Linked DNA regions of Elephas maximus indicus. The protein of the gene in region 1 interacts with the protein of each later gene in a biochemical or structural test. Links are inferred from orthologs where the notes say so. Each region holds a gene or a part of one and is shown on either strand. Other genes may lie near its edges.

Evidence for each region.
Region 2: the proteins of POLI (region 1) and POLH interact in far-western blotting, tested with the Homo sapiens proteins (2 studies listed by BioGRID). The link is inferred for Elephas maximus indicus from reciprocal best matches to the Homo sapiens genes POLI and POLH.

The regions. Positions count from the first base shown.
Region 1 is NC_064829.1:62,856,346-62,866,420, reverse strand, and holds the start of POLI (DNA polymerase iota), read right to left. Parts: upstream 4,155-10,075; 5' UTR 4,145-4,154; coding exon 4,024-4,144; intron 4,013-4,023; exon of another isoform or gene 3,821-4,012; intron 2,826-3,820; exon of another isoform or gene 2,814-2,825; coding exon of another isoform or gene 2,807-2,813; intron 2,572-2,806; coding exon 2,446-2,571; intron 1-2,445. UniProt on the Homo sapiens protein: Error-prone DNA polymerase specifically involved in DNA repair. Plays an important role in translesion synthesis, where the normal high-fidelity DNA polymerases cannot proceed and DNA synthesis stalls. Favors Hoogsteen base-pairing in the active site.
Region 2 is NC_064819.1:108,006,505-108,016,320, forward strand, and holds the start of POLH (DNA polymerase eta), read left to right. Parts: upstream 1-4,795; 5' UTR 4,796-4,885; intron 4,886-5,249; coding exon of another isoform or gene 5,250-5,354; exon of another isoform or gene 5,355-5,939; intron 5,940-9,584; 5' UTR 9,585-9,588; coding exon 9,589-9,734; intron 9,735-9,816. Other genes in the region: XPO5 (exportin-5), read right to left, coding at 859-1,041, 1,175-1,312, 2,595-2,667, 3,923-4,044, 5,250-5,354. UniProt on the Homo sapiens protein: DNA polymerase specifically involved in the DNA repair by translesion synthesis (TLS). Due to low processivity on both damaged and normal DNA, cooperates with the heterotetrameric (REV3L, REV7, POLD2 and POLD3) POLZ complex for complete bypass of DNA lesions.

The DNA.
Region 1 (10,075 bases):
CTTCCAATCAAAATTCTACAAAGCAGAAACACAAAGTTTTCAAGCTATCTCCTACTTCAGAATCATAAGACATCAATATAAGATTTTCCGCACTCCATTTTTAATCATTAGTTGTTTTTGCCTACTTGTGAAAGAAGAAAAGTTATTACTAAATAGTAAAACACTAGAGAGATTATATGTTAGAAGAGGGATCAATTATTTCATAAACAAAAGGCAACTGTTTATATTTCTTGAATTTAACAAAAATTATCATAAATCAATACATCCTGTGGAATTTTTGGTAATAAGATACAAATTGTATCTTTCTACAATTTTTCAGACAATGCAAAACCAGATTAATTTTTATTACCATATGTAACTCTAGCTCGTGTTTTACGAAAAAACAGGTGCAATAAGCTGTGTACAATTTACTATCGGTTGCTGCTAGAAAAACTCAAGTACTTATCTTCTGAGTAACATGTCAGTGAACATAAAGCAATGTTCTGTTACAAGTGCCAACCTATACCAATTGTTAAGGATCTCTCGCCACAAATGTCAATTACCAAACTTGTTCTTCATAGTAATCTGCAGAAAAGATCAAAGTGAGGAGGCATTATGAGCTGCCTCCCTATGAAAACCATTAAATTATTATCACCGAATACATAAAATTCTAGTTTATTGGTCCCTTAAGACTGCTAAAATTACGTTTTTCTTTTTTCAATAAGTAGATTGTTAACCACTATAAAATAAGCACTGAAAATACGTAAAATGTGGACATTTAGGGGGGAAAAAAAAAGGTTATGTCCGTTGCCCTAATGCGAAGCACTCATTTCTAAAATTTTGAATATTATAAACAAAGCAAAAAAACACATTTGCACAAAATGGTTTTTTATATATCAGATTTTCAAAAATAGCATCCCTGGGTGAAAGGAAATAATAAAAGATTCCTCAGTGAACTATAAGAAAAATCAAATTGGTAACTTTCTTACTTTAATGCAGAAATAAATTATATGGGCCCACCATTGTATGTTACCAGCAGAAAAAGTACTCAAATGTGTGTTGAGTGTAAAGACTCCTTTTGTTTCCTCCATGAGACTTTCAGTATTCATCTCCCTCACTTCATGGTAATCATTCATTCATGCTTCTTAATTACACAATACCTTTTAATTAAGCATTATCTATGGAAACCCTAGTGGCATAGTGGTTGAGTGCTACAGCTGCTAACCAAAAGGTCGGCAGTTCGAATTCACCAGGCACTCCTTGGAAACTCTGTGAGGCAGTTCCACTTTGTCCTACAGGGTCGCTAGGAGTCGGAATCGACTCAACAGCAGTGGGCTTGGCTTGGACAGAGCAAGGAACACTGGTGGCACAGTGGTTGAGTGTTCAGATGCTAACTGAAAGGCCAGCAGTTGGGACCCATCAGCAGGAGAATGATATGGCAGTTAGCTTCCATAAATATTTATAGCTTTGGAAACCCTATAGGGTAGTTGTACTCTGTCCTATAGGTGCAGCTGAGTCAAATTCAACTCAATGGCAATGAGTTTGACTTGGTTTGACCTATAGAGCAACGTGTGTTACAGAGCTATTAGTTATAAATGCTTTTAACAGGAAATGGAGGTACCTTAGATCCTAACTTATTGATACCCTTAAGAAAACTCTATAGTTACTACTTACGTTCGGCATACCAAGAGCTAATCGCCCCATTGCTCTTTAATATATCAGCTAGGCTGGGCTGCACAGGGATTTAAAAAATCAAACTAGGGATAACAGGGTAGCAGCAAGGGAAGCAAAATTGCTCTTAATGCTTATGCTAAAAGACTAACCCTTCTTGCATACAAAAGAAACAAACAAAAAAAAACCTCTGCATTCCCAATGTAAAATATGAATAATTATTAAAACAAGTCAGGACATCAATAAATAAATCCTCAATGTAAAATTTCTCTTTTCACTTTTAAAAAATTAATAGAAAGGCCGTTTTAGGAAAGTTTGTTCTATGTTTTGTTATTAAAGTTTTGTTCAAAACCCAATTAACTTATCAGACTTTACACAATTTAAGAGTTGATTTCAAAAGAAAGGGGATCGATGAAAATTTCTATTAAAAATGTAATCAGAAGTTTGTTTTTGAGAGATAAGGCTTATAAAATTTCAAACGAATTGAGAACTAAGCCCCTGGCTAACATAAAAACAAAACCCAGTGCAGAAGACTGAAAATTTATTCTGGTCTCTCTGTTCATCTTTTCAGTTGGCTATTCCGCTTGTTCCACCATCTATTAAATGAGACTTAGAAAGTTTACACTTGGTAGTGCATCAAAGATTACTGTCAATAAAGCACCTGTAAGAACTGTTCCCAAAATGTTAACATTTAAGTCTTTCTTAGTCCAGTTAATAAGTCAGAATAAATATAACAAATACGAGTAGCTAATCGGATCATTACACAATGAAAATATTAACAACGTTCAGAATTACCTAAAGGTTTGCCCTTTAGCTCTGGATGTGAGATCATTTCTACCTGCGCATAAAAGCAATCCAGGTCCACATGTACTATGACTCTGGATGAAGTACTTCCTGTTGGTACCACTTCACAACGACCTGCTGTACAATATGGAAAAATACATTCAGACTTTTTATCATCACAGTTAAGACAGTGCTTAAAACATGGTAACTGACAAGTAAGAAACGAGAGTGCAGACTGGTTTTAAGTTTTTTTCCTTGGATTTATTACACACACCAAAGCATCTAAAAACTACAAAGAAACAGTAAGGAGTATCTGTCCTTTAGGATCACTCCATCATCCTAATACGGTAGGATCTGAGTCTTGTTTACTTACTTAGCATTTCTTTGTGCAGTGCATTTTTCTGAGGGTAGTAATAAACTGAAGAAAAAAAATTTGATCATAATAAAAGAGCTAATGCTATGACGTGGAAATTTACAGTAACATCTAAGACTAAACTGGGACAGTCAGAAATGTCTGAACATCACTGATTTTCCCCCAACTTAAAATTTTTTGTTAAGTGCCATGTCCTTCAATATAAAAAAGAAATCTGAAATGTGAGGAAGCAGAACCTATAGGTTTCAATATTCCCATATTCCTGGAGTCTGGCATATAGTAGACTATCAATAAATATTCACTAAATTCAAAGAATGAGTAAGTATTTCCTGGATTTTAAAATGTAGCTCTTGTCATTGGGAGGACACATGAGATTCCTGCTCTTAACATTTGTTAAATACAAAGCAGGCTAAATGGAACACGGTCCTCTGGTTTGGATCCCGGAAGGGAAAAGGAACATTAGCGGAAAAAAGAGTGAAATCTGAAGAAAAAAGTATGTAGTTTAGTTAATAGTATTAGGCCAAAGTTCATTTCTTGGCTTTGACAAATGTACCATAGTGATGTTAAGATGGAAACACTAGGAGAATTTGGGTGAAGAGATACAAGACTCTGTACTATCTCTACAACTTTGTGTGAACGTACAACTACGCCCCCTCTTCCCCACTACGGGGAAAAAAATAAAAAAGAGGGCAGGGAGGAGCGTCTTTTCCCCTCCTGACCCTAGGGTTGGCCGGTAAAAAGTAGGGCCCGGAAGCTGGACACGAGTACCCTGTGAGGAGACCACTATATACATGCTGCCTTCTCGGTTCCATCCCGAACCAGTCCTTCCCGCCCAGGCTGCGGCCGGGGCCCAACCTCTGCTAAGGGAGGGACAAGGCTCTCAACCTTCCCAACCTTGAACCGCCTGGGAGCCTATTCAGCTTTCGTTCGACTGGTGGCGGGTATTTTCTTTCCCCACGGGGAGGCGGAGAAAGGCACAAATGTACCCTCGATTAACAGGTTGACGAGCCCTACCCTACTACTCCGAGGCGAAGCCATCCTCTCGGGGGTCCTAGTCGCTAAATACCAGACAAGCTAGGGCAGTTCTCTCACGGTGGGGCGGGCAAGACAAAGGCAGCCGAAAGGGGAGGGGACGGTCGCGCCCCAACGGGCACCGCCGCCCAGCCCCTCCCATTTACACCCAGGAAGGCCACTGAGCTCTTCAGGCCCCGGCGCACCCTGCGAGCCGCCTGCCGCCTCCGCGTCCGCGTCCGCGTCCGTCGGCTCCATGCCTCGGAACGCACCCAGTTCCTCTTCGCAGCCACCTTCCTCCTCGGGCACCACCCCCAGCTTCTCCATCCTACCGAGACCAACTGCAGCGCAACTTCCGGCCGCTTCCGCCCGGTCACCGGGCAACCGTGGGCCGACTGTTCCCCATCCGCCTCAGTCCACGCGCCTGCGCGATGGCGGCCGACCTATCTTTTGCCCGGAGTTGCACTCCGGCGTGGGAATCGGCTCGGGCTCCGGTGCTGGAGGCCTCGCCGGCTAAGTGGAGGCCGGAAGTGAGAGTTTGAAATGCCAAAATCCTAGATTTTGCTTGAGGCTGTCATACTTCGGCATGCAGCACAAATTCAAAATTTTTGTTTTTGCTGAGACCAGCCCGTTCTCCTGATCAACAGTTAACAGAATTGCTAACACCAAAAAAAAAAATAATAAAATTTTTTTTTTTTTTTGTTAGACACTGGAAGGACCCCTGGTGGCGCAGTGGTTAAGAGCTATGGTGTACTCTTATGCAATGGGCCCAGAAGAGGACCTAAATGTAAAGACCCTAAAGGGTTAGGTTTCTCAATGCGTGTTTGTTTCCTAACTTTATTGAGGTATAACTAAAGTACAACAAACGAAACACATTTAAAGAGTACAAATTGATCAGTCTTAACAAAAGTATGCACCATAAGATAGTAAATATTCCCCCATCAGCCTCAAAATTTCCTTATGCTCCCTCCCTGGAGAACCACTGATCTGCTCTCTCTCCTTAAGCCAAAAAGAAAAAAAAAAAACACCATATAGGACAGAGTAGAACTGTCCCACAGGGTTTCCAACGAGCACCTGGTGGATTCCAACTGCACATCTTTCGGTTAGCAGCTGCAGCTCTTAACCACTACACCACCAGGGTTCTGTTCTCTCCTTATAGATTTGTTAATATTTTCTGAATTTTATATAAGTGGAATCATATGGTATGTGCTCCTTTTTGCCTGGCTTTTTCACTCAGCTAATTTAATATTCAGCCATGTTGTGGGGGAATATCAAGAGTCCATTCTTTTTTATTGCTGAGTAATATACCACTGTATGAGTGTACCACACTTTATCTGTTCACCTATTGATGAATGTTTGGATCATTTTCAATTTTTTACCATTACAAACAAACCTGCTATGAGCATTCGTTTAGCACATGTTTTCATTTTCTTGGATAAGTTTGAATGGCTTATAGTTTATATGTATCTTTTAAAGAAACTGCTAAATGGTTTTCCAAAATTACTACACCATTTTGCTTTCCCGCCAGTGGTGTATGAGTTTCCCAGTTGCTTTACATTCTGATTTACACTTGGTATAGTAAGTTTTTAAAAAATTCTAGTCTTTATAATGAGTATGTAGTGGCATCGCATTGTGGTTTTAAGCTGTATTTCCCTGATGACTAATGATGTTAACCATCTTTTCATGTGTTTACTGGCTATTTGTATGTCTTCTTTTGTGAAGTGTCTGTTCAAATTTTCTGCCCATTTTATTGCTGAGTTGTCCAATGTGTTTTTTAAGAATGTCTCTGGGGGAAAACTTGGCATCAAAACTCCATTTCCTCATGTTCAACGTTTAGGCTCAGGATATGGTAAGCCAACCACTTTGATCTCTACTAAATTCTAGGGGACTGCTGCGTTTTTCTCTGCATAACAATCCGTTCTGTGCTACTTGATCTAATTATCTGTTACGTTAGTTGACCTCCATCTCTATACTTCGTGTGAGGGTACTCTAAAATTGAGGTGCTTGGCATGATTAAAAATGACTGACCTAGGAGTGTGCTGTCACATTATAGGGAGAGCAAGTAGGTTCACATGACAATGTGTATATAAGATTTTGTATGAGAAGCTGACTTGAATCGTAAACTTTCACTTACAGCACAATTAAAAAAAAATGACTGACTTAGGTCTGAACCATAGTTCCATTTTTTAATTAAACTTCAGTCTATTCTAAGTCCTCCTTTCTGCCTTTTTAGAAACTGTGACATCTAGCTTCTTGTGAAACTTTAACCACCCTCAGCAAACAATGGAAGGGGTGAAAATGTGGTTTGTGAAGACATGTTTGTCAATAAATGTTTCTCAGGTTGGTCCTGGGAGAATGTTTGCACAGCCTATCTCAGGAAAAACGTATAGGTAGAAAGTCTGTGTTAGAAAACAGATCAGCTAACCCTGTAAGATTTTAGCTTGCTATTGTCCTGTAGCCATGTGTAAACCCAAGCTTCCATGATTATAGTTGTGTACTCCCTACCCCACTTTATTGTATAATAGGCTTGTACCTCTTCCAATGAATTGGAGCACTTTGCAATTTTGCTGAAGTGCTGCCAGATTCCAATCTTTATATTCCTTCAATAAAACTCTTTTCCTTTTCCTTTTAACAGGCTAAGGACTTTTACTCTTTGACAACTTATATCCTTCTTGCCAGGGCAGTGCACATTCAGTTACTACTTGATGCCCTCTTCATTTCACATACCCTGTGGTAGATACTTGTCTTGGATATCTAGTGCTGCTGTAACAGAAATGCCACAAGAGGATGGCTTTAACAAAAGAGAAGTTTATTCTGTCACAGTCAGTAGGCTAGAAGTCCGAATTCAGGGCACCAGCTCCAGGGGAAGATTTTTTCTCTGTTGGCTCTGGAGGAAGGTCCTTGTCATCAGTCTTCCCTTGGTCTGGGAGCATCTCAGCACAGGAACCTCAGGTCCAAAGGATGTACTCTGCTCCCAGTGCTGATATCTTGGTGGTATGAGGTTCCCATGTCTCTCTGTTCACTTCTCTCTTTTATATCTCAAAAGAGATTGGCTTAAGACAGTACCTAATCTTGTAGACCTCACCAATATAACTGCCACTAATGCACCTTATTACATCATAGTAATAGGATTTAGAACATATAGGAAAATCACATAAAATGGTGGACAATCACATAAAATGGTAGACAATCACATAATACTGAGAATCATGGCCCAGCTAAATTGACATGTATTTTAGGGGAACACAATTCAATCCATGACAATATTGTTATTGAAGACATGAGCACTAGAATTGGCGCAGGACTGCTGAAACCCCCCTTGGAATCAATGTGAAATGGGAGTGTTTTTTGTGTGTGTTTTGTGCTTATGGGTTATCCTTCTAGAAAGAGCATGTCAATTTAAATGGGAAATCTTTCTCTAAATGTATCATTAAATGGAACTAGGTGTTGTGGGGAGCCCTGGTGGCACAGTGGTTAAGATCTTGGCTGCTAACCAAAAGGTTGGCAGTTTGAATTCAACAGCTGCTCCTTGGAAATTCTATGAGGCAGTTCTATAGGGTCGCTATGAGTCAGAACTGACTTGACAGCAAAGGGTTTGTTTGTTTGTGTTTTGATTTTAATCTTTATGGAAGCAGACTACCACGTCTTTTCTCAAGACGTTTTGGTTAGCAGCCAAGAGCTTTAACCACTCCACCACCAGGACTCCTTACTCTATAGACAGCGACTGATAATCCCTTACTCTAAATCTTCAATAGCTGTCTCCAAGATGAATTGTATGCATAATTGGGCTTTGAAATCAATATTGTTTGATAAAACAAAATACAGATAAAAAGATGGAGGCATATCCAAAATAACAATAGTGTCTGTTTCTCTGAGGAGCCAATCTGGCTCAGTGGTTAAAGTGCTTGACTGCTAACTTAGCAGTTCGAATCCACTGGCTACTCTGTAGGAGAAAGCTTGGCAGTCAGCTTCCATAAATATTTACAGCCTTGGAAACCCTATGGGGCAGTTCGACTCTGCCCTATAGAGTTGCTATGAGTTGGAAAAGACTCAATGGCAATGATTTTGGATTTTTGGTTTTTTATCTGTTTCTCCAAGGTATCTGGGTGGCACAAATGTTTTGTGCCTGACTACTCACCTAAAGGTCAGTAGTTTAAATGGCCTGGCAATCTGTTTCTGTAAAGATTACAGTCAAGAAAAACTCATGGAGCAGTTCTACTCTGTTAACACATGGGGTCACCATGAGTCAGAAGCAATTCAACAGCAACGGGTTATCTGTTTTTCCAACTCTTACAGGTTTGGTGGGGATGAGGGGATTTAAACCGCTGCTTTTCAACGTTTGAATAATGAAGAGGGCTTTTACTCCACTCTCCCAGAGGCACTATATTTATTTCTCTCTCTTCATCTCCATTTTGCTCTTCTCCAAGGCAAGAGTAGATATTTATGTAATTCGGGAGGTGAGAAGAGTCTGACAATTATAAGGCCAGCTGGAGTGAATGGTGCTGTGGCCCAACCTTTCCAGTCCTTATTGGGTCTCCCAGAAGCCTTGCGGGTTCACTGTGCTTCCAGGTTCTAATCAGTACACTGACAGGTGTGGTCTGCCTCTTACAGGCCCTGACAGGCCTCTGTTCTCTTAGAAGCAGTTTTTTACCCTGACGGTGGGAAAGTCTAGCTGCCTGTTCACTTTTTTCCCTCCAAAAATCTAATTTTTGCCACTAATAAAATTGAGAATCAAAACATCTTCTACCTCCTTGGATCTATTTCTTAGTAGAAACTAGTGGAAACTTGAGCTTTAAGGGAAAAAAAAAAGCTTTCACTGACATTTAAAAGTGTGGCTCCATTCTGTTCCCTTCACAGACGCATTGCTAAGTTCAGAGGATACATATATGGTGTGGTTCATGGGAAATTTTGTTTGTTACCCCACCCACTCCATACATGCCTTCAAGACCAGACTCCCTCCTCTCCGCCCCCGATACTTAAGTACTGACGCACCTTGTAAAAAGGTAGACGTAAACATTTGCTGAGACATGCAAAAAACAAAGGAAAGCATAAGTAAAAGAAACAGTAAATGTTAAGGCAAAAAGGACTGATTCAAAAGTGTTATATAGAAATATAGGCTGATAATATGACACTAATGTGAGACTCTGCCTCAGCAATTTTCCTGAATAATTGATAAAGGTGACTCAGGAAAAGGTGACTACTGGAGCAAGTATATAATGCCAACAAATCTGATTTGTTTCAAAAGCATATACCTTCTAGAACTTTTACTTACTGAGTTAAAGCACATATACTATTTTTATGGTATCCATTTTTCTCCTAATACTGTATTTTCTTGGTGATCATGATCTTAACGATAGTAGTTTTGTCAACCACAGTACTCTTCAGGAACATAACCTCCATAATTGATGAAGGATTACCATAGTACTGTTATATTTGGGAGAAAAGTTATTAAAAAAATTTTTTAAAGAAAAAAATTAAAATCTGATTGGAAAAGACTTTTGAATTCTATTGATGAGTTCCTGAAATTTGTCTCAGATACCTAAAAACAGATTAATAATAACCTAATATTGACTTTATCCTTGTCATGTTTAAACTTCCATGATTAGTGAGCCAGTTGGAGGCATAAACTCAGATGGGCACTCAATATTTTTCAGTTTTATTATAAACATTGTCTATAAAAATACTTATAAAATCCTGAATCTGGCCACTCAAAACTTCCCTGAGAACAGTGGATTAACTCTGGTATATGAGATTGCGGGATCTCTAACCCTGACAGGAATTTTGGAGACCTTTTTAGTTCTATCATCCTAGGGCAATTGCCTTGAGTTTAACAGATTTCAGTCTTTTCTCTTATTGGAACCTGTTAGTACTTCCTCATATAATACATTTCAATAAAATTTTTTAATTAAATAAGGTATGGAGTGAATACTTTTGCTGTCAGGACAGTTCAAAAATCTTCTTAGGTTTGTGAGCTCCAAATATTGCCCAACTTCATACTTCTTAAATTCCATCAATGAGATTTTTTTTTTTAATGGACTCAGAGTAGATTCAACCCAATCTTCAATAGGGTAGTCTTCCAACACCCAACACTATAGATGAATTAATTTGTTACCTACTTCATCTAAAAGTTATGCCAATATCCTCTTCAATAATTGCAAGTCTAAATTTTCAGATCAGTATTAAATTGAGCTTTAGACAGGACTGTTCCACCAAAAGACTGCTGCAGAAGATCTCTTTTGAAGTATTAAAAGGCAAAGA
Region 2 (9,816 bases), on another chromosome or scaffold:
AGTCTTTTCCTCATCATCTGACAGTTCAGTTAGTACCTACCATTTCTCTGAAAATAGACCTAATGAGGCTGCCATGGGCATAAAAAATAACCAAGTCTAGTAATACAATTTGTGAAATAAGTACTTATGAGAATGCTAAGTCAGTACTATTGACATTTGGTGTTGAATAATTCTTTGTTGTAGGAGGTTGTCCTGTACATTGTAAGATATTTAGAAGCATCACTGTCTAAACCCACTAGATGCAGGAGCAACCCCCAGTTGTAACAACCAAAATGTCTAGAGACATTGCCCAATGTTCCCTGGGCGGCAAAGCTGCCCCTGCTTGAGAACTACTGTGCTAGATTAACTTTCAAACTGCCTTCTTCTGAAGGGTCCCTGCTAAAACGAAAATAGTTGGGTAAGACAGTATCTCACTTGTCCTTTGCTGCAGAAGAAAAAGGAAGAATGAAAATACCAAGGGATCGCTGCAGTTGACATTAATAAACTCGGTGGTGCACAGTTGTGTCCACTGCAAAAGAAATCAGGACTATCACATTTAATAACGATACTACCTTGACCAACAGAAACCCGGATTTTCAAATAGTAACAAATAGCCTTTATTTTTAAACTATTTTAAGTTTTTTTTTCCTACTATAAAAGAAATTTTTACTAGCAAAGAAACTCAATGAACTGAATTTGTTAGAAAATTAATTCATTTTTCCCATGATCTACCAGGTTCTTTTTTACTTACAAAATGGCCTTTTCTTTTGCTAAAGCAGGCACTCTAGCTCCTTGTTGAAGGATTAGTTTCTTAAAAAACAAAGAAAAAAGCCACTCACGTTAGGAAATAGGACTTTCTTGGGGTAGGGTATCCCTTACCACTTGCCGGTACTTGTTTAAATTTTCTTGAAGTGTGTTAAGTAGAAAAGCGAAGATCCTTTCCATGTTCTGGGTTAATGTTTGCTGGATATCCCTTCTTCTTTGAGGGGGAAGTGTCTGAAAGGTCACCACATCCTCCGCCAGTCGCAAAAGGATGAACATCACTAATTCTGTCTGTGTTTCCTATGCCAACAGAAATAAGCTAGTTAAATTAAATTAAAATGCTGACTCTCACCCCCCCACCAAAAAAAAGACAGTATAAAAAATTTGAAGATTCCAGAACAGTATATTGAATTGATTTATCCATTCTTCATACCCCTTGTTTGGAAAGAGCATCCAATTCTATTAGCATGTCAGGCCAATGCTGTGGCCACTCTCGCTTGATCATTTCTACTACGATGCGAGACAGAACATCTTTAATGTGGTTCTCCTCTTCCAAAATGTTTAATGTTCCCTGAAAAAGAATGAGAGATACTGAGAGATCTGCAAGATCGAATTTAAGGAACACCGGGCTGTAAAAGTATATAAAACTCATGAGCAGGCCTGCTTTTAAACTAAGTACAACAAACAAACCTGTTCATCATGTTTGAGTCACTTACCCTGCATTCCCTCTAATCATTCTTCCCACGTAAAGCTTAAGTGAGGGTTGTACCACTAATAAAATGCCGCTGAAGAGCAAGGAAGACATCACAGCTCTCCCTTCAAAACGAAGAAACTCTCATATAGATTGTTTCATTTTTTGAGAGCGTCACAACAGAAAAGTATAGAAATAAGGAACAAGAGTATGCTGAGAGAATGTTAAAACTGGAGGGTCTGGAGATGCAATTAATATTTTACCAACAGTTACAGTATTAGAAGATACAGAAAGATTATCACTAGGTTTCTCTTATTCTGAAGTTTGAAAATGTCAAGACTAAGGAAGTATGATTTCTATTGTCGCCCCAGAAACAGCACTAAAAAAGTATTAGCTAAATAAGTTAATCAGTAATTATAAAAGCTTTTTTTTTTTCTATTGAAGACACTAGATTTTGGAGATGAAAAGGGGTAGGGACTCCATCTTTCATACCCTTTTGTTTAAAAGAAAGGAAAGAAAAAAGGCTATAGACTTTAAACATTTAAAGTCATCTTCTAACTGGGGAAACAATTCATTCTACATATTTTTATTACTAGTATCATACAGTACAGTTTGGAATAAAAGATAACAAACAGCAAAGTTTTAATCTTTTAAACCTATGAATCCATTCATTTGCTGAAAATGTTTAATCTCTTCTGTCCTATCTTTATATTTTAAAAACAGAAGCCAGCACGTAAGGGATGAAATTAAATCTAGTAAGAGAAGTTTGGGAGCCCTGATGGAAAGGTGGTTAAGCTGCTGAGAGGTGGGCAGTTTGAACCCACAAGCTGCTCCACAGGAAAAAGATGGGGCAGTCTGCTTCCGTAAAGATTTACAGCCTTCGAAGCCCTATGGGGCAGTTCCACTCTGTCCTGTAAGGGCATTATGAGTGGGAATTGACTTGACTGCATTGGGTTTGGTATTTTTTGGTTAAATGTAATGAATTATGATTTCTTGTTAATGGTAGTCCTTCTACCTTAAAGGTACACATTTAACATTACACCAAACATGCTCTTTGACCTACATAGAACCAGTGAATTTTTATGCAAATGTTAAATTGAAGAAGTCATGTTTTGTCTAAACTACCTTGGAAACACAAGTCTTCCAACCAACCATTCCTTACATTTGCAATCAGCTCCATGACACTGTTCTTCAGGTATACTTTCTCCAATCGAGACATGCTGTTCCATCGAAACCTGGCCACCAAAAAAGAGAAAGTCAGAAACAGAACCCATTAGAAGGCTTCTCTTCAGAAGAAACTAGTTTTGATTCCTGTGTTAGATTATGTTGGCAATTTCATTAGAAAATTATACTTTTGATTTTGTACCCTTCAAAGAATGGGCAAAAATAGTCCACATTTAACCAAAATGCTAGAAACAGAAAAATTCCAGGGGTTTATATATACAGCACTCCATTAACCGGAATTCACATAGGATTTATGCACACATCAGCTTCCCCCATGATTTTATTAATAGACTGAAAACAAATATACATCTGGGACAACTACAATATAGTCGTTTTTTCCAGAAAACACAATCTGATAACACCAACTACCTTATTACGCTGGTTTACAAGGTAATAACAGCACAATTCCAGAAAACCTGAGGCTAAGTCTTAAAAATGGATTTCTGTGATAGGCATTGGAGGAGTTTTCAGTTATTCACATATAATATTGCTTTGGAAGTGCCATTCAGAGACGGTACACACTCAAAACGTAAAAGAAAAGAAAATCAAAAGTAATGTCCAATCACAAATTTATTTATCTATACGCAGTATGGAAACCCTGGTGGTGTAGTGGTTAAGGGCTATAGCTGCTAACCACAGGGTCGGCAGTTCGAATCTGCCAGGTGCTCCTTGGAAACTCTATGGGACAGCTCTACTCTGTCCTATAGGGTCGCTATGAGTCAGAATCGACTCAATGGCACTGGGTTTGGTTTGGGTTTTATACACTGTATAATCCTAAAGAGGCTTTGAGATCTGCCGGCATATATAGATATTCAATAAATGCTGGGTGAGTGACTAGCAGCTATTATTTTTTGAATGCTTAGTATGTAGCAGGCACTTTACAGGATGAAGAAATTGAAGAGCAGAAAGGTTCAGTCTTGAATGAGAATTCCCTGGAGGATCTGATAATTCTGGGTATTATTCCTTTTTCCCTTGAAGAATGCTCTATTCTGCTTACTTAAAGAACATCTAGGGAGCCCTGGAGGCACGTGACTACTAACTGAAACGTTAGCAGCCAGTCCAAGGAAGAAAGATGTGGCAGTCTGCTTCCATAAAGATTTACAGCACTGAAAACCCTGTGGGGCAGTTCTGCTTTGTCCTATAGGGTGGCTATGAGTTGGAATCCACTCCACGGCAACAAGTTTTTAAAGAACACCTCTGAGTTATCCAAGAAATAAAGATTTGCTCTCTTACATACTTCAGTGGTAAACTCGTAAAATGCCTTACTTGACAACGTGTTCCAGGATCTGAAGGCCAAAATGCCTGACGATGGCAATTTGTGTTTTCTCAGCCAGCCTCAGGCCACACGGGACACAAATAGGGCACTTTTCTTTAAACTCTTCACAAAACTGAAAAATAAAAAGTTAGTGTTTCTCTTGGGCGTTAAGACAGTGTGGAGACTAAATAAGCTTCGTTCTAAGAAATTCTAATCTGATCAAATCTAGATTACTACTGTATGAGTAAAGAAATGATAAACATTTCTTTCACTCTGATGGTTCCAGATTTTCCATGGTACGGCCTTACTAATATTAAAAAAAAAAAAAATGACCTAAAGGAGTAAAAAAAAATTGTTAACGATATACCCCTGCAGTACATAAAAGTGAAATGACAATTTCTAGGATTTGTTATACGTCAACAAATCCTGCTGTATTTAGAACTTAAAAGTACAGAATTTAGGTGATGAGTATACCCAGGAGTCACTGCAGTATTATCTCTACTTTTCATGTCTGTTTTAAATATTCCATAACAAAAAACAGACTAATAGAAGCCAGTTGTTTTTTATTTCAAACCCTGGCGCATACATCCATCTACTGTAAAGTTTCCTCCAACTGGCGCTATTTTATGAAATTGCACACTTAAAATATATACAGCACAAATATTTTTTCTAAGCAGCCATTTCTCAGAGCTCACAAACATTGTTTGATAGGGGTATAAGCTCTTTTTCTAATAACATCCCCATTTGTACTAGGATTCCGGAATTGTAACACATGAGTCAGTACCAGGACCAAAGCATCCGGGACTCAAGAAAACTACTTTCAGGAAACCCAAGTGCCCTTGTTAAAATGCAAAGTAAGCGGTAGAAGTTCATCTTTGCTCAAGACTATCACACACTAAAAAACGTGGGGCGCGTAAGAACTAGCCCAGAAATGCCCAAGACACAGAAGAGGGGTCAGCGAGAGGTGTATGGATGTAAGTAAAGGTGTACTAGGTGGACTGGAGCTTGGTTAGGATGGATCAGGAGAGTGTATCAGTAGCGAAACGTTTAGTGCAGGGAAAACTCTAAAGAAAGAGATTGGTGTTGGGGGCGGGATCAACACGTGCGCCACCGGAAGGCGAAGAGATGCGGGATTTGGAGCGCAGCCTGCGTGAGGAAAACGGAGGGACGAAGGGCAAGCGCGGCGAGCAGTGAAGGCGGGGGAGGGAGAGGCGTGGACCGCCGCCAGGGAAGGCCCCCCCAAGGGTTGGGGAAGGAGGTCCAGGGGACCGGGGCCGGGGGAGTCGGGGTCAGGGGAGGGTCTCGGACCAGGCCCGGGGGCGCCAGGACCCCGGCTACCTTGAGGGCTTCCAGCCGGTAGCGCTGGGTGGAGCTGGGGTCCATCATGACCGTCACCGCTTTCACCAGCTGCTCGCACAGCGCGTTCACTTGATCCATCTCCATGGCTAGCGCCACGCGCCGCCAGCGCGCAACGCGGCCGTCCTGAGAGCACGAGGCACGGACGGCTCCCTTGGCGGCACCACAAGCTGGTACCGGGCCGCGCTGGGCTGGGGGATGGGGAACGGGGGGAGGAGCGTGAGCTGCTGAAGCTCGAGCCAGGAAGGTGCCGGCGCTGCGCACGCGCCCGAGCCGCCAGTGCGCACGCGCCCACGGAAGTGGCGGCAGCCTTGTGACGTTTACTGCGGTGGGCGGAGCGGGCGACGGAAGGGTCGCGGTGCGCAGGCGCGTCAACGGTCCTTATCGGAGTGCGCGCAGTCTGATCATCTGTCAGAAGGGCTTGCGGCTTAGCGCCTAGATCTTGGCTGAACCACACTCCTGGCTGTGCGGGCGCCTGCCCGGGCAAGGATCCTTCGCGACCCTTGGCCCATTTCTCTGTCGACACTGGGAATAGATCTCTCTCGAACAACTGGACTGGTCCTGGAAAGGCGACAAGATATTCAAGACCCTTTCATCTCCCTTCCAGTGGACTCCGAACCCAGCAACTGCGGCTTCCGCCGTTGACAGTTCTGCCAGGTGTTTATCACACTGGTAAGAGAGTTTAGAATTGTGCAGTATCAATGTTTTTAGACTTTTCATGCTGCCTTGGCTATTGGTTTTGTGATACAGCAGAGGCTGGTAACAAAATTAGCCCCCCCCCCAATTTTTTTGGGTGGGGGGGGCCTAAGTTACGTGAAAATAGAAACGTAGTTAAGGCCCTGGTATTGTCCTCTAAGGGGATTTTTCTTTTAGAAAAAATATTTTTCGCTATAACTCTTAAATCTCCCTCTTCACTTGTACTTACTTTCCTGGATATGTCATCATTTCATAGGCACCAAACTTGTTTTGTACATATTGGAATGACTCTAGATATTTAAAGATGAATAATTACAATTATTGAAGGTTCGTGTGGTATTGACAATTTGCTATATATACGATTTCAAAGTAGCGTAATTCTCGTTCCCAAAGCATGGTTTTGGTAGAGTGTGTTTCATTTTCCATCCTTAAAAAGCTCTTGCTTTCTCCACCAAAATACATAAACTGAACACCTCAACATCTTCATTATCTGTTAAAGCCTGCATATCTGTTTCTGTACTCACTAAAATGTTCACTGGGCTTAAATCACTGCTTCCTATGCACACTCCAGTTCTGATATTTGTATCTAATATGATACTTTGGGCTGTGCTGTTTTTGTTACAATGCATTTACTATTTTTACTCAGGCATTATCTGTTCCAGTACTACATAAAAGCCAATACAAAATAAAGAAATTTCTCACATGCTGTGGTTTTAACTTACACATGTTTAAAGTATCACATTCTGCCTGTTTTAGATGAGTGGTCAATAGGAATTTATAAGGAATTAATGCCTTGAATACTCTGATTTTCTTCATTCTTTGTTGCTCTTTCCACTTGTTCCAGCTTTGTAATTGTGTGACACTTTTTTTTCAAGGTGTATGTCAATTTTTTACAGGCTTTTTTAAGAATACAGTTGGGTGCTTGCTCAACTGTATAGCCTGTTTCTCAAATTTAAATCATCAGTTACTGGTGTTTGTTTCCATAGGTATCTTATTTACTTTAAGTTAGTGGTTTTCAAATTCTGCTGCATATTAGAAATGCCCAGGGGAGTTTTTAAAAATCACAATGCCCAGGAAGCACCCCATACCAATTAAATTAGAATCTCTGTGGGTGGAAACCAGACATCGGTATTATTTAAAAGTTCCCAAATGATTCCAATGTGCAACAAAGTTTGGGAGCCACTGCTTTACTTTTATTCCTTCTTCCAGATCAGTAACAATGTTAGATGATAACATTAGTCTGTACCCTCCCTCAAATATGTAGGGTGTATTCTTCCAACTACCATCCATTTCTTTGTTTATGTGTGTATCTGCGAACAGTGTGCAGTATTGTTTGTGTTCAAAGTTTACATAAATGGGTAGAAAATCACCATTAGAACACTACAATAATGATTATTACAGCAAGATCCACTGATGAGTGGTTAAATTAGTGGTGAAAGTTTGAGGAGAAGTAGGATATTATCATAGTCTCAAAGTATCTCCTTCAAGATGATCATTAGTTACAAAAGGAAAAATAGTAACTTTTCAGTGACAAATCCAGGGAACACTACCTTGTTGTTAGCTGCCTACAAGTGGTCCTGACTCATGGAAACCCCATGCACAATTGGATCAGACCATTGTGATTCATAGGGTTTTCAGGGGCTGATTTTCCAGAAGTAGGTCACCAGGCCTTTCTTTCTAGTGTGTCTTAGTTTGGAAGCTCCACTGAAACCTGTTCAGCATCATAGAAATACGCAAGCCTCCAATGACACTTGAGGTGCACCAGCTGGAGACTGAACCCAGATCTCCTACTGGAAGGCAAGACTCCTGGTTCGATACACTTAGAAAAGCTTGCCAAAAAATGCATAACCTCATTATAAATGTGGGAAAAGATCAGACAAAATCTTATTGAGACCTTCTCCAAATAACTGACCGGTACTCTTCAAAAGTGTAAAGGTCATGAAAAACAAAGACTGACTGAGAAAGTATATGGATTGGAAGAAACTAAGGAGACATGATGACTAAATGCTGTGCAGGATCCTAGATGGAGTCTTGGATCAGAAAAAGGACATTTGTGGAAAAACTTGTAAAATCCAAATAAAGCATGTAGTTGAATTTATAATATTATACCAATAATGTTCTTTTTTTTTAGTTTTGATAATTGTGCTGTGTAAAATGTTAACATTAGGGGAAACTATGTTTATGGAAACCCTGCTATTTTTGTCACTTTTCAGTAAGTTTAAAATTATTTCAAAATAAGACGTTAAAGTATTTACATAAATGTTAAGATGTTGTATATCATTTTCTGCTTCTCTTTTCCCTGAACTTATACTTAAGTTCTGTCTATCAGCTAGATTAGCTGTTGGCTCTATTCCCCTATTGATGTATATTGTGGTTTTAATTTGCATTGGCCCATGACTAATGATGTCGGGAGCCCTGGTGGCACAGTTGTTAAGAGCTCAGCTGCTAACCAAAGGTTGGTAGTTTTAATCCACCAGCCGCCCCTGGAAACCCTACGGGGCAGTTCTCCTCTGTCCTATGGGGTCACTCTGAGTTGGAATTGACGCGACGGCAACAGATTAATGATTTGAACCCATTTTCATGGGCTTATTGGATGTTTGTATATTTTCTTTTGTGAAGTGTTCATTTCTTTGGGGAGGTAGGTATTTTTAGGCCTTTATACTTATTATCTTCCTAAAACTGAACCAATTTATTCTGTCAGTAGTATAGAAAATGCTTGTTTCACTCTCGTTAGGTCCCAGTGTACTCATGGTGACTCTGTGATGGAAGAATGGCACATTGGATTAGGTATCCTTTTTTTTTTTTTGTGGTAAAATATACACAATATAAAATTTGCCATTTTAATCGTTTTCAAGTATACAATCCAGTGGCTGTAATCACACTCACAGAGTTATACAACCACCATCACTCTTCATTTCCAAAACTTTTTCATCACCCCAAACAGAAACTCTGTACCCATTAAGCAATAAGTCCCTATTCCCCTATCTTCCCAGCCCATGGTATCCACTAATCTATTTTCTGTCTTTATGCATTTGTTTATTCTAGATATTTCACATAAATGGGATCATGCAATATATGTCCTTTCGTGTCTGGCTGTGTCTGGCTTAGGCCATATAATTTTATGTTTAACTGATTGAAGAGCCACCAGTCTATTTTCTACAGCAGCTGCACCATTTTACGTTCCCACCAGCAATGGATGAGGGTTCCAATTTCTCCATATCCTTGCCAACATTTGTTATTTTTTAAGTAATAACAATCCTAGTGGGTGTGAAGTGGTACCTCATTTCCTGGTTTTGATTTGGATCTCCTTAATGACCAATGATGTTGAGCATCTTATCATGTGTTTATTGGTCATTTGTCTTCTTTGGAAAAATGTCTATTCAAGTCCTTTGCCCGTGTTTTGACTGGGTTGTTTGTTCTTTTGTATGATTTCCAAATATTTTCTCCTGTACTGTAGGTCGTCTTTCCACTTTCTTGATATTGGCCTTTGATGCATAAAAGTTTTTAACTTCAGTAAAGTCCAGTTTATGTTTTTGTTGTTGGTGTTGCTTGTACTTTTGTATTTAAGAATCCATTCCAATAGGTATCGTTTCTAATTGTCCATGAAATGTTGTTTTCCAGAAAAATGGCTACCACCTACCCTGGACAGGATCGGGTAGTTGCTTTAGTGGACATGGACTGTTTTTTTGTTCAAGTGGAGCAGCGGCAGAATCCTCATTTGAGGAATAAACCTTGTGCAGTTGCACAGTACAGATCATGGAAGGGTGGTGGGTATGTATCATTGTTATTGTTATAACCATCAATTACTCTTTCAATCTGTAGGGATATATGCTAGGTCTTATTTTTGAGATCT